Drosophila melanogaster: one gene and its partner. The protein of the gene in region 1 interacts with the protein of each later gene in a pairwise test. Each region holds a gene or a part of one and is shown on either strand. Other genes may lie near its edges.

Region 1 (11,501 bases):
AGTTTTTGTCGGACCAGGTCAATAAGGATTCCTTCCGGTGCGGAATCTGCTATTCAATGCATCAAATTCAGCACAACCCTCTTTCCCTCTGCTCGAATCCTTATTAAATCCTTATTAAACTCGAAAATTCGACCTTAATTATAGGGATATAAAAAATACAGGGTGTCCCTTAGTCCTTTGAAAAATATGCTTACAGTTTGTTCCTAAGAAAAATACTTATACTTAATAAGACTTCCCAAAGTAATACCCATTAGTTAGTTTATCCAGATAAGGGCTCCCCTATTCTTTTTCAATCCGAAACGAAAATAAAGTCTACCGTCATAGCCTCAACACAAATAAAGTGCATATAAATTGCTTACTAATTGGATCCGTGGAACACCCTTATGAGGAAAGACCTTTAATGGTTTTTTTCGCCTGTTTCCGCCGGCGGCATTTTCAAAACAACGTTTTATTATTTTTCTTTTTTAAAAACGGTTTATCCATCTTTTCGTAAGAATATCGTAGTTGTTGTAAAAGGCTAGATATATTATGCGAGTACTGCAAACGGACTGGGGAGTCTTGTAGTGTTCAAGTAAATCTGTTATTATTTTGGAATTATTTTAAATATATGCTCTGAAGTGGCTCTAATTCAGAACGGCTCTTCGGGCTCCTAAATCGCGTGCCTTTTGGTTTGCACTTTATTTATTTGGGGAGTGGCTAGGATAATGGGGCTTTGTAGTCTTATCACGACTGGCATAAACCATTGGCAACGCGAATTTATTTGGGGCAGACATCAAAGGGCCATTCAGATTTCTGGAAAGGGAAGAGTTAAACATGGAAACCCGCTTAGTTGTTTTTACCACAAAGGGGCCCTAATTTAGATTCTAGACTTCTTGGTAAGACATAAAGGACATATTCTCTTCGCAATTATAAATACTTTCGTTATAATAACCTGAAACCATCTCAGTCCGAATTCATCTATATAATAATGAACAGTAAATAAAAACTAACCACTTTGTAAGATACCAAAAAAAAAGCGTTCATCAGCGTGAAACCCATTATCGAAACCGTTATGACGAAGTCTTCTTCCCTGGGCTTGTGACTGCGAGCTGCAAATTGGACCGCCGACAAATTTTAAGATCATTTTTGGCTGGCTCAAAATCAACTGGATTGAATATATGGTATTTATACGTGGAATTCTTGAAATGCCCAGAGACATAACTATAATTGCTTGACAAAGTGGTCGCTTTAGGTTTTTGCCTCGCAGTATGTTGCTTTGCTTTTGAGAACCCCAACTTGAACGACATTCCGGGGTCCGGTTCATCAAAAGTATTTCAGCGGAATCCGTTTAATAGCATTTCCAATAAAAAAAAACATGATGCGAGAAATAAACGGTAGAAACGAGAAAGTGGAGGAATCCATCCTCCCAGAAACAAGAGAACTATAATAAAATTCCAAATCGTATAATCGTATATAATCGACCCCTGGGCCAACCCCCTTTGAGTTCCCTTCTTTTGGCCATCCCTTCCGGCGATCAAAGGTCAGGTTAATTATGAATTTGCCAGCTGACTGCCAACTGGAGACGAGAAAGGGAATGCATCCTTTCGGGAGTCAAATGCTCCGCATTCCCGGCAATTAGTTGCATAATTTCGAACGACGGAAAAGGAGACGGGAAAAATAATTGAAATTGTTTATAACTCGATGGCAATCGAAATTGGACGGCAGCGAGACAATGGAAATGAATAATTCCCGAAGGGCTATTAAAAACATGCCGAAGGAGCAACTTCCAAAAGCGGCAACAGCCCCATGATGCCATGATGAATCACAGGAATGAGCAGGCCGTTCGCTTTCAGGGAAAATCAAAATGCACACAATACATTATAAAGCAACTATGGATCGCTTCTGCGAAAGCCGGCGATACCAAGATACTCGTACATTTTAAAATCTTAAACCGAAGCTCCGCAGTGAGACTGCCAGCAACCATAAAAAGGTATTTAGCAATTTAGATTCACTCGACGTGCCGTCCCCATTGCCATCCTCATCTCCATCGCCATTGCCATCCGAAAAACATGTCTGAGGACGATCCTAATGGTGCTCCTGCTGTTGCGCCGTGGATGTTGCTGATGTGCCTGTTGCTGCGGTTGATGTTGCTGCTGTTCCTGGCAGAGTATCGCTAGCCCGATCAGGCTGATTGCAGCTGGAGGGGATCCGATCAGTGATGCCCACTGAGATCTATTAATAACGCTGTGAGTCATGAAGCGAAGTGGAGTTGCGGCTGCATAGAATTTGAAGAAGATACTTGGTAACCAGGCAATAAGTTACTTTCTAAAAGAAGATATATTTAAGAAATGCATATGGGAGCGAATTTTTAAAAAAGTTTTAACGTTAACTACCAGCAGAATAGCTTGCGATACACAGCCATCAAATCACATGCAGTAAGCCTTCGATTAAATTATGTATTATTCAAAAAGTTTGATTTGAACAGTTTTTCGAAGTTTTGGAAATCTTATAACTTGACCACATTAATCCAGTAGACAAAAGTTTGCAACAGTTTGAAGTGCAGTCTAAAATCCCGCTTGTTTAGCGGTAAAGCGGTCGAGCGGGCAACGCTGAACGGACTGAGGTGCATGCTTCAAAGGGGGATACAAGGACCGCTGGCTGAAAAAAAAATGAATTGCTTAGCGCTTGCCCAAAATGGTCCATGGCATAAATTCCGAATGGGAAACGCATCAATCAACGGACAGGCTCTTGCACCGAGGAGCTGGTGAACTGGTAAGCTGGTGAGCCGGGTATCCAGCGTTCGTGATGATATTGCCGTGGAGATTAGACGGCGACAGCACAGCAACTTCGGCAATGGCAGCCAAAATTAAATAAGAAGAGATAACAACTAGGCACGGCCCGAGAATTCGAGAGTACGAGAGTACGTGGAACCACAAACAGAAAAGAACAGAACAGGATGGTCGTAGGAGGAGGGGAGGGCGGGAGGCATGAGATCCGGGCCCAGAACAAATAGTCATCGTTGTCATGCCCAAGCGGATTAGCCTACCTCGCCGGGCTGCGCCGTGCCTCCTGGCCTGCCTCGTCGGCAGCGTCGTCTTACCTGCGAAACTGGACGTGGAACAGCAACTGCCGCTCCCCTGAGCCGGCTAAAAATTTACGATTTTAGCACAGATTGTAAAGTAAATTTTCCTGTTTTTATTTCGAATTAACAAGCGGACCAGACAAACAGACAGCCAACTGCAGCGGAAGGAGCAAGAGGGACACACTGAAATGGGCTGCCTAATCGCTCCGCTCGATCAAGAGATACCCTACACACAGATGCCTCAAAAAGGTTCATCCATGGGTCTTAGAAAGGATTTTGTCAAATACCTAATAGCACGTTATAAATATTTCAATTTCCATGCGCGTTTCTGTCGATGTACAGCATTTGTTTTTTTTAACGTTTGCATCATAGTGACATATATATATATAAACAGCATAGATTTGGCCTGTAAGTGCACCTAAACTAGGATTTCAATGAGATATTCATATATATTTATGATTTATTTAGGTCCGGTTGAAAACCAAACCGAAGAACTGTTCGGCAAAGTGTAATTTGTAGAGTGGCGTATACCCCTAACCCCCAGCGAGTAGCGGGTATAAAAAACGAAAGTTTCGTGCAGACGTCGGGGAATAGAAGCGACGAAACACAGAACACAGTCTTCTTGGGAAGAAGCCATGCAGCGCAACCGGTCGCAGTCGGGATCAGTTGCCGGCCTAGCGGTTACTTAATAATGCAAACAGGTTTCACCGTACAGGCCGACTGGGCCGGGGAGAACGGATCGGGAGGACCGTGACTTGGACTTCTGCAGGAGAAAGGCAGTTGAGTTATGGATTCGATATGCCACAAGGGAAGAAAAGGAGGCAATCCGGGCAGCAGGGCGATGCAGCAGGCAAATATAAAAGGAGACGATGACAGAGATTAGAGAAACAGGAAATGTGGGTTGGACCGATTTAATGAGTGAATGCCAGATCCCAAAACAGACGGTCAAAAAAATGTCCTGGGGACAAACAAGAATGCTGAATGTTATCATAGAGCTGCCCTAAAATAATACAAATTATACATTTCACTGCTTCCGAGTTCGATAGTCGATCGTAGCCCCGATACAAAGAAACTCATTTTGTCCATGGCTTGCAGTAAGAGACTGCGAAAACTATGATAACTATAACCTGATCCTATCAAGTAGAATCTACTTGCAACTTACTTGAACTTATACCTGCAAGATGCACGTTCAGTGCAATACAGCGGAAATAAATAGTATTTTGACCAGTTATGAAAACACAAAGGGCGCATTTTATTGCATTCAGCCAACCCCACATGAGTAAACCATTATCTGTCTGGAATTTCTAATTTCGAAGTTTTCTATACCACTTCAGGCATTGTCGTCGTCTTGGCAGTTGTCGTTTTGTCTGTTGCCCCTCTTGACCAATTTCCTGCTGCCCGTTTTTGTTCGTTCTGGCCGTTCGCTTGGGTTGGGGTTGAGCCATAGGCTCTCCAGCAGAGCGACTGGCCCGCTAATTCAAGCAGTTCGGTAATTTCCAAATTGGCGGCCCGTAATCAAACTGTAATGCGGCCGACTCGTCATTAAGCACGCAAGCAGCAACATCACGGCAGCAACATCAATCCAGAAAGCAACCAAAGGCAGAAAAAAGCTGCAAAAAAACAGCACAGCAGAGCAGAAATAAGCACACAAAGGGACGCACGAGTGCAAAGCTGGCAGCTACATCAGATCCAAAACCCATACAAATAATACGGCGGAAGCACCAATAAAGAAAAGGCTTAAAAGCAGCAGCGACAGCACCATAAAAGTCGGCATAAAGCTACAACACTATAGTGTCGATATTAACCCAAACCAGACTCCAAAAACCATCCACAATCCCAGATGCAATGAAGACAATTCATTAACAAAACCATGGCAACAACAGTAGAAAAGCAGGAAATCATTAAGGCTATCAAACAATAGTATCCATTAACTTGTATACATGCACCAATCATGTTCTTTCTTAAGAGTCTTAGAATAATTAGCACATAATACGAATTATTAGTTTTTAGTAGACAATAAGAAGCATTAGTTTTACTTTTTGGATTAAAAGACATGCTTCAATGCAAATCCGCCACATAGGTTTTCATTTTACTTGCACATCGAATAGCAACAACACTGAAATGCAATGGCAACTTGACAGCAACAACTTTCAGCCCCACAACAACAACAGCTGCAACAGCGATTCCAACAAACATATGCTTTGAGAAAAAAAAAAACAAATATGTACCAAGAGAGACAGCCAGACTCACCAACACACTCGCACGCGGACACACCTCCCCAAATAACAAAACAGCTGATTTGTTATCAGCAGTTGCTGAATGAGCCCCACAGAGCGAGCCACTCTCTTGCAGCAACAACAAAATGGGGGGAAAAAAACGACGCCAACGGCGGCTGCTATGGCAACGACCTTCCTTATTTATTACAATGTGTGTAATTCCCAGCCGTTTTCTCACTCTCTCTCGCTCTCTCGCTGTGTGTGTGCGAGCGAGACAGTGCCCTTTCCTGACTTAAATTGCCCATTTTTTAGTACAGAAATGTTTAATATCGCTGTCTGTTTGAGTTTTTGCAATTTGTTTTCCTTTTTTGGTCTGCAGAAAGTCTCTCAGTGCGCAGTTTAGCTTTCGTATTCCAAAACCGGAGAGGTTCTTGGGGTATTTGTTGTATTCTTATATTAAGGAACTACGTAGGTGTGTTCGAAGTTGCGTCGCAGAGGATTTTTAGGCAGTTGTGTGGAGATCACACTGCTTATGTTGATATTATATGGGTTTTAAGTTTTAGGGGTGTACCAAAGTGCTCAGAAATACATAAGTAAAAATAACCCATTCCCATTTTAACCAGGTGATGCTGATAGATTCATTCAACTCCCCGTTTTTAGTGCGGCTCAATTAGCTCTCAACTCGCCGTTAACCCCTTTAGAACCCATCTGCTTTTACGACCCCATAAAGCTGCTCCCAAAAATGCGTTTGCCGTAAAAAATTAAAGCACTAAAACGGTTAAAGACATCGTATTACAAAATAATGTGCGCTCTCTCGCTCTTTTCTCGCCTCTTTGTCTCTCTCTGTCTCGACCAAAGCAGTTGTAAAGATGGCCGCCGTGTAGTAACATGGCTGAATGTATACCACACACACACACGCAGGCACAGAGAGAGCGGTCACAGAGAGGGAGAGAGAGCGGCCATTGAATGCAATTTATATAGGAAAGCAACAATAACAATAACTCTGCGCTCGTCTCCTGCGACTGTGTGTGTGCTGAATACGTCACGGAACATCAGCTGTGCCGAACAGCAGGTAGGCGTCGGCAGAATGGAGCGAAGACGACGTTTCGAGTCAGTCGCTTCAAAGAGCTCGATTCGTGCGGACATAGGAGGAGATAAAGCGTGGTCTGTGGCACGTAATTAACGAAGAAGAGAGTTAAGAAGATTCAACGTCGCGTCGAAGGTGAACACGCAGTTAAAACCCAAAAACAAACGCAACGCAGCCAATTGTGATACGAAAAATAAGTAAATCGGCAGACAATCAACAAAAACAATAAAAGCAAAGCCTACACACAGGCGTAGGCGTCTAGCCAACAGCTGTTTTTCGTGCGCGCTCCGTATTCAGCATACTCGCTGCGCTTACAAACGTCGGCAGAGACCGCGGCAGAGAAGCAAGCGGCGGCAGCAAAACTACAAAGCAGAAACTACAATTCAGATCGCGTTTTTCTTCGGAGTGGATGAGACGTTCGTTCGGCAGTTCTATTGCGCATAGAACTAACAAGTTACCTACTCCGCGAACTCACCCCCGCGAGAAAAGAACAGAACAGAGCATAACCGAATGGAAAGAAGACAAGGAGTAGCTAAAAAGCAACGGTTAAGTTAGCCAGCAAAAACGGGCAAAAAGACTGAAAACACACGTGGATTGTTCACTCACCCCGACACGCGCACCCACTCGCACTCACACTCACCCAGCAGCTCCAACTGTTCGCTGCATTTATGTAAAACCAAACAAAGACTGACTAAAACGCTAATAAATATACAATAAACGTAACGAAACAAAGTTAAACACGCGAACAGCAGCTAATATTATACGGGTTAAAGCGAATTCCAAAGCAAAGCAAACACACATATGGATTAAGGTTCCTCCTATCTCAAAACACAAAAACAAAAGCAACAACCAACTCACGGATTACCTGCAGCGGCAAATTTACCGTTAGCCGCTCTTTTTGGATTACCAGTGCCAATAAAACCACAAAAGTGAATTTTTTCGAAAGTGAAGAAAGCGAAAAACATCCGCAAAATGATAAAAATCTAAATCTAAGTAAATAAGCAAACCAAAAGCGAATTCTGTGTTACCGAAACGAGAGCAAAAGCTAAAAGATCCCCTGAATACAGCAATGACGATGGCCGCCTGTTATGCCAACTACGACATGTCGTCCCTGTCGCACGGCATGTCGGCCCTGTCCGCCCTGCAGCAGCAACAGCAGCAGCAACAGCAGCAGCACAGCCAGACGCAGCAGCAGCATCATCACCAGCAGCAGCAGCAACACATGTACCACGCCGCCGTGGCTGCCCACCAGCAGCAGTTGCTGCAACAGCAGCAGCAGCAGCAACACCACCGCCATCACCACCAGCCCGCCAACACCAGCAGCAGCAGCAACTCGCGCCACAGCCATGCGGCGGCGACCCAAACGCAGGTCGCCGCCGCGGTTGCCAACAGCAGACAACAACAACAACAGCAACAACAGCAGCAACAGCAGCAGCAGCAGCAGCAGACTGCCAGCAGCAACAGCAACGCAGCCCCCGCTCCATCGCCGCAGAAGGACTACAGCATCCCGCTGCACGTGGACTGCAGCGTGGAGTACGAGCTGCCCAACCAGCCCAAGCCGCCGGCGGGCCAGAGAGTGGAGCCCCTGCTGATGATCCACCCGTGCTACTTCCGCAAGATGGAGTCGCAGCGGCGCAGCCCGTTCGTGAACAACATGCATGCGACCGCGCGGGCGGTGAGCAGCAGCTCGCTGAGCAGCGGAGCGGCCCTGGGCGGAGGCGGAAGCGGTGCGGCGGTGGCCACGGCGCCCAGCAGTAGTGCCGCGCGGCGTGGAGCCCGGGCGGCTACGAGCGCCCAGCAGCAGCAACAACAGCAGCAACGCTACCAACAGCAACAGCAGCAACTGCGGCAACAGCACCAGCAGATGTCGCAGATGTCGCAGCAGGCCCACTATCCCCAGCAACAGTCTAGTCTGGTCCGCCAGCACCAGCAGCAGCAACAGCAGCAGCAGCAGCAGCAACGTGCCAGCAGCAACCAAAGCCAACGCCAAAGCCAAAGTCAGAGCCAGAGCCAGAGCCATGCAGCCAACTCAGCGGCGGCAGCTGCGGCCCAGGCCTCGATAGCCGCCGCAGCCGCCGGCCAGTGGGATCAACTGGCTGCGCTGGCCGCCCGCACCGCCCTCACGCCGCACCACATGCTGCATCCCCACAGCCACTACGCGGCCAAGGGTAGTGGCGGCGGAGCAGGGGGCGGGAAGCGGGACGCCATGATCTCCGGCAGCTACGGACAGACGGCGGTCGCCTCGGGGAAGCTGCAACAGTCGCAGGTGCAGCAGCAGCAGCCACAGCAGCAACAGCAACACTGCCTGCCTCCGCCGCCGTGGGACGCGACGTCCATGCTGATGGACCGCTCGCCGATGGCCACAGTTCCTAGCAATTATCAGGCCGGCCCTGACACCAATCCCATGCGCCTCTACTCGGCCACGCCCACCGCCGGAGCGGCCTCGGGCGGGTCGGCGTCGGTGGGCGGAGGCGGGGCGGTGAGTGGTGCGGGGGCGACGGGAGCAGTGAACACGGCCACCGACAAGTTGAGCGGAAAGTACCGCCAGTACTTGCGGTCCCAGCGGATGCACCCGTACGCGGCGGCCGCCTCGCTCAACTTGGCAGCCGCCGCCGCTGCCGCCGGCCAGACCTCGTTTGTGCCGTTCAGTTCGGCGGCCACGGCGGTGGCGGCCACGCCCACATTCCAGCACCTGCCGCAGATCTCCTGCTACAACGTGTGATGCAGCACCAGCAGCAACCAGGACAACGGCAACATCAGCAGCAGCAACAGCAACTTGCAACACATGAGACAGGCGCCTACCAAGTACGCGTCGATGAAATAGCCGCCTCAAGGAATAATTAATAGATCCTCCCCTAAAACAGTACTATATATACACACCCATCAAAGCTTTTAGAATCAAAAGTAATTAACTCTAAAAATATTAAGAGATGAAACAAAATTCTGTCTAGCTGCTATGAGAAATTGTTGTCCGACGGTGAGAAAAGAGGAAATGAGCGATCTTTTTTTCTTTTAGTAATGGTAGTAATTGATAAACGATACAAAAACAAACAACAACAAAAAAAAAAAATGCAAACTATTGTAGTGATATTTGTTATAAAATAATTTTAGTAATTAATTTAATTTAAATTAAACAACCAACAAGAAACAACAGCAACCGCTCTGTGTAAGCCAACCACATAAACAATAACAACTGCAACAACGGCAAAAACAAGAACTGCAACAACAACAACAACGGCAGCAACATTAAACAAAACAATTGCTAAAAGTTACACATACGCATATTTAATTACAAATCAGCAAAATGTTACAACAACCATTTACCGAAAGAATACGAAAATATGAAAGGAAAATTATTACCAAACGATGGAGAGAGAAGAGTAAAGCAGAAAAAAGCAACACAAAAAATACGAATAAAAATTATTCAAAATTATGCAACGTAATTTGAAGCGAGATATGCAAAAATTAAGTAAATTGTGTTTTCAATTAACGTAGCGAGCAAGAAAAGCATAGTTCAAGTGATTTGGCCGCGGCAAGGAAAACTCCCCTTGCCGTCGGCTTTTGTGGCCAACTTTTCACACTTCCCACCACCACCGACCGACTAACTCCTCTTTCTGTTCGCCTTGATTCGATTTTCATCTTCGCTCCCTTTGTTTCCTCATTCTGCTCCGCCTCATGGCCTCCTCCTCTGCGGTGAGCCGTGATTGATTATTGTCATTGATGGAGGACCGGGCAGCGGGTTGGGGTGACCTCGGCGCACAGCACAGGGGTCCCTCGCTAATGGCAAACCGTTGAGCTGAGACGAATTTCGAAAACTTACAGGGCTCCGATTTATGGCTAGACATGAGGACGTCTCTTGAAATTTCACTATTAATATCTTATACTTAGATACTTATATACTATTTAATGTATTTGAGCCAGCTGTTGAAGGACTAAATCTGGCAACACACTACGATATCGAGAGATGTTGATTTCCACTCTATGTACATATATGTGTTCCACGACGTCGGTTATTTCGCTTTTACGCCTTTGTTTTCGATTAGAAGTTTAAATACGTTCTTGTTCACGCCACCAGCGGCCTCACTGTACTTACCTTTCAAAGACCAGCATTCTCGAAGTTCATTCGTTACAGTGATATAACCGAACTGCCTTTGCCTTCAGTGCTTACGGCTCTAATTTTGGTCTTTGTTGCGAGGTGAAAACGCAGCAAAATCTAATGGTTTCGAGTGGCCAGGAAACGCGAGATGTTATCAGCTGAAATTGTTTTTGCTCGCCCCCAAGGTCCCTCGGGAAAGTGTGTGCTTTCATTACTGATTGCATGTCGAGGCGATTGGCGCGGTTCCATGGGAGTTGCTGGGTTCCGGAAAGCAAATAGCTGAGTAATTTATGCATGGGCAGGAAAACCCGCTGAGGATTCAGCGCGCCATTAAGCCAATCGTCGAATTAATTAAGCCAAAAAAGAGTTTTCAACTGAAATGAACGACATCCGCTGCCGGGGGACCGGCACTGACTCATCTGTCCGCTTTAGGCTGCCCTACATCCAAACAAGTCCGACTCTACTCCACGACCATGCGGTCGCAATCCACTCGAGATTCAAGAAAGAAAAGACTTTAGTCCAATTGCAGAACGACGGAACCATTGCAGGAATTTGTGGGACCAGTTTAGACGCATCGGTTAGTCGAAGAAATGGCCAGACCACATATTAATCCATAACTTATTCAACATACAAGTCATTTCATTAGGAAAAACATTATTTAGGGGAGCTTGACTTTTATTCATCTGCTGTGAATTGCATTTAACACATAAATGAATCTGATTTAGAGCACATTTGTATTTCTCCATCCTTCGTGGAAGCCCATTCAACAGCATCTGTTGCAAGAAACCTTAGAAATCACTCTCCACTGGGCACTTTCCATATATAGTAGTCCCGCTTGCACGCCCAATCTAAACAAGCCACTGCTTCCTGAATGGTGCCGCACTCTCCGCGGGATTCATCTATTCACTTATTCAATTCATATTAAATTGGTCGTAGATTAGAGACGGAAAAATATTTCAATTGCCGCCGGCGGCATTCACACAAGTGTAATTAAAATATACTGGAGATCGGATCCAGCTCCAGCTGAAAGCGTCGGTTGTT
Region 2 (3,600 bases), on another chromosome or scaffold:
TGATTGACAGATATTTTATTTAGAGTAAGGCAATCTTCGTGGGAAAAGTCCAATCCACTGCCCCTACTAAACCCAAAAGCTTTATCACAATCTCTCAACTGATGTTCTATTTATATATTCTTTCTTTCTATTGCCAAAACTATTTACCTAAAACCAAAAAAAAAAAAAAACATGAAAACTAAATGAAAACTTTTGCACAAAACACACAAACAATCCGAATGCTATGCAACGTCAAATCAACGTGGTGTCTCGTTGCCCAAAAATTGCCCATTTGCATTTTCGCTGTTACTCACTGCCAACTGCTGGGCGCCGAAAAACTTGACCGCCTTGGCACTCGAAACTGGCGCCCAACGTATGCCGGCCATTTACTTCTGCAGGGAGGGCTGCAATGGGAATTGCAAGAACCTGAACTGCAGTCGCCATAGCCACGGACGCGATGACCAGCAGCAGGACAACAACAACTCCAATAGGAGTTGCAGCCTGCAGGAGGCGTCGCCTGGGGGAGCAGGTGCAGGTGTCACACCAGGCGCTGACAACCAGGACAGCATAGAGAGTCGCACCAAGGGCGTTTCCCAGGCGCCGCAGACCCACAGTGGCCCAACGGGTCCACCATCCAACACCTCGAGCGAAACTATCGCACAACCTGCCCCTAAGCTTCAACCCGCCCTGGAAACCGTAAGGGAATCGGTGATGGAAGAAAGTCCTTCGAAGGATCCCGGCGACAAGGGACCACCGCCGCCCGCCAGCACATCCACATTGACATCCCAAACCACCACCTCCTCCAGCGCAACCGCGGAGCCAAGTGCCAAGGCGGCCGAGAGTCAAGCGGGAAGTGCCGGCAGCAGTGGCAGTTGCAGTAACCCAGCGGCGGTGCATCGGCAACGCCGCCTAAGGACACCCACCTGGGCCAGGTCCATGTCGACGAACAAAACGTACTTGAAATTTGATTTCTATGCTAGACTAACGTTTATCCGTTACGCCTCTTCAGTTCGTTCGATTTGCCTTTATCGTTTCACGTTTGCGTTAACCAACCAACAACCACACAGCTCCAGAATGAACTACTTTCTATATATACACACATAACTCTATGAACTCTGTCTCTCTATCTCTCCTTTATCCAATCTATCCATCTGTCTGCTGACCTCTGTCTGCGATTTCCACTGCTGTAATCTTCTGTCTAGCCTCTGTCCCCTACCCCAAATCTTTTGCTCGCTTCTGTTGTAAATAACTATTTTATCCTAGACTAATCAAAAAAAAAAAAAGAAAAAAGGACACTTGTTTCGTTCCCCAGCCGCGCTCAGCGGGATTGTAAATGTTTCGTTGCCGCGTTTGGACAAAAAATTGCTTACTACGTTTAAATACTCCGTGCAACTATTAAATCAAACTTACATTCATACGTAGTAAGCACTTGAAGGAGTGAGAACTGGAAGATATACTTTAAATGTATTCAAAACTGCTTAAAGTATTTGTATGATACATTTGCATTTCTGAGAAACTATATCTTCCACTTTTGACGCCACTCGCAAGCAGCAACTCTCCTAGTCTTGTCGACCAGTGTAATTTTGTGAATACATGTACAAAGTTTGAATACCGCACATGAATCCATGGCATGTTGATTGTCCTACATTTGTTTGTTTTCTATATTAAAAAACTAGCTTGCGCATGTGTTTTGTCGTTTTTGAACTTTTTTTAACTTTCCCGCCTAAGTGTGTTAAATACCGTTTAATGTTTACCAACACTGGCCAGCCGATCGTGACCAGGTGGCCACGCTGCGCAATGGTAAGACCGTACTGCCTGCAATGCCTGGGTATTTTACGCGATCCGTGACTGGGGTCACACCATTGCCGCCAAAAAAAAACATTTTCATTCGCCTCGTTATTTAAACATTTAAAAAAAGCATTATCGAATAGTTCATTGAAGTCGCGGCCTAATTTGGGTTTCATTTAACCGTACAAACGTGCCGCGCGTTCGAAATGAGCAGTGATAAAGTGAAAAACGGCAACGAGCCCGAGGAGTCGGAGGAATCATGCGGCGTGAGTAGCGAATGACAAATGGCTGTGCGAACCGAGAATTAATGGATCTTTTGGGCCATGTGCCGGCTGCAGGATGAGTCGGCCAGCTATACCACCAACAGCACCACCTCGCGCAGCAAGTCCCCGTCATCCAGCACGCGCAGCAAGCGCCGCGGTCGCCGGAGCACCAAATCGAAGCCAAAAAGTCGCGCCGCCTACAAATACGAGTAAGAATATGCACTTTCTCAGCTGGCCACTGATACTGAACCTACAAATGATTACCATGAAGCACCCACGTGAAGGAGAACCACGGAGCCAACATCTTCGGCGTAGCCTTCAACACGCTGCTGGGCAAGGATGAGCCACAGGTCTTCGCTACGGCGGGCAGCAACCGGGTGACCGTCTACGAGTGCCCTCGACAGGGCGGGATGCAGCTGCTCCACTGCTATGCAGATCCGGATGTGAGTCGCCAGGATACAGAATACACTTTCAAGACCCTATTGATCAGTTGGCTAAAGTTAGGGGCTTCATACATTAGACATCGCATTCAAAGCTGTAGAAAAAGTGGGATCCAGTCAAAGTTTCTATTAAATCATTGCTTTTGTTAATTGTTTTAAAGTAAGAACAATCGTTACAGGCTTTCAGCATGGTTTCACAATATCCAAACATTTATCATTTCTTGTATTAAGTTTGGTTTTTCATAACAGTCAAGTTTTCAAATTAAAGCTTATATTGTTAATTTAGCCGAGAGTAACTGAGAATATGGTCGCAAATGTAATTGTACAAACTCGAAATACATCAACAAATCTTGAATTCCCTTCCCAGCCCGATGAAGTATTTTACACCTGCGCCTGGTCGTACGACCTTAAGACCTCTTCACCTCTCCTGGCCGCTGCTGGATACCGCGGAGTCATCCGGGTTATTGATGTCGAGCAGAATGAGGCGGTGGGCAACTACATTGGCCATGGACAGGCCATTAACGAGCTGAAGTTCCATCCGCACAAGCTACAGCTTTTGCTTTCGGGCAGCAAGGATCACGCGATAAGATTGTGGAACATCCAGAGCCATGTGTGCATTGCCATCCTGGGCGGAGTGGAGGGACATCGCGATGAGGTGCTGTCCATCGACTTTAATATGCGTGGAGATCGCATTGTGTCGAGCGGCATGGATCACTCGCTGAAGCTGTGGTGTCTGAATACGCCCGAGTTCCATCACAAGATCGAACTGTCGAACACTTTCAGCCAGGAGAAGTCAACGCTGCCTTTCCCCACGGTGACCAAGCACTTCCCCGATTTTTCAACGCGGGATATACACAGGAACTATGTGGACTGTGTGCAGTGGTTCGGCAACTTTGTGCTCTCCAAGTCCTGCGAAAATGCCATTGTCTGCTGGAAACCGGGACAACTACATCAGAGCTTCGAGCAGGTGAAGCCGAGCGACTCCTCCTGCACGATAATTGCGGAATTCGAGTACGACGAGTGCGAGATCTGGTTCGTGAGATTCGGCTTCAATCCGTGGCAGAAGGTGATTGCCCTGGGCAATCAGCAGGGCAAGGTGTATGTGTGGGAGCTGGATCCCAGCGATCCCG

What was found. Proteins that work in one complex are often made in the same cells at the same time.
Region 2: the proteins of corto (region 1) and esc interact in binary tests that used the Drosophila melanogaster proteins (3 or more experiments, as listed by UniProt).

The regions. Positions count from the first base shown.
Region 1 is NT_033777.3:5,081,958-5,093,458, reverse strand, and holds the start of corto (corto), read left to right. Parts: upstream 1-6,386; 5' UTR 6,387-7,433; coding exon 7,434-9,086; 3' UTR 9,087-11,501. UniProt on the Drosophila melanogaster protein: Essential protein required for proper condensation of mitotic chromosomes and progression through mitosis. Binds to specific polytene chromosome sites, many of which are shared with the posterior sex combs (Psc) protein.
Region 2 is NT_033779.5:11,827,609-11,831,208, reverse strand, and holds the start of esc (extra sexcombs), read left to right. Parts: upstream 1-1,803; 5' UTR 1,804-1,973; coding exon 1,974-2,033; intron 2,034-2,105; coding exon 2,106-2,239; intron 2,240-2,301; coding exon 2,302-2,473; intron 2,474-2,837; coding exon 2,838-3,600. Other genes in the region: Pde1c (phosphodiesterase 1c), read left to right, coding at 378-932. UniProt on the Drosophila melanogaster protein: Polycomb group (PcG) protein.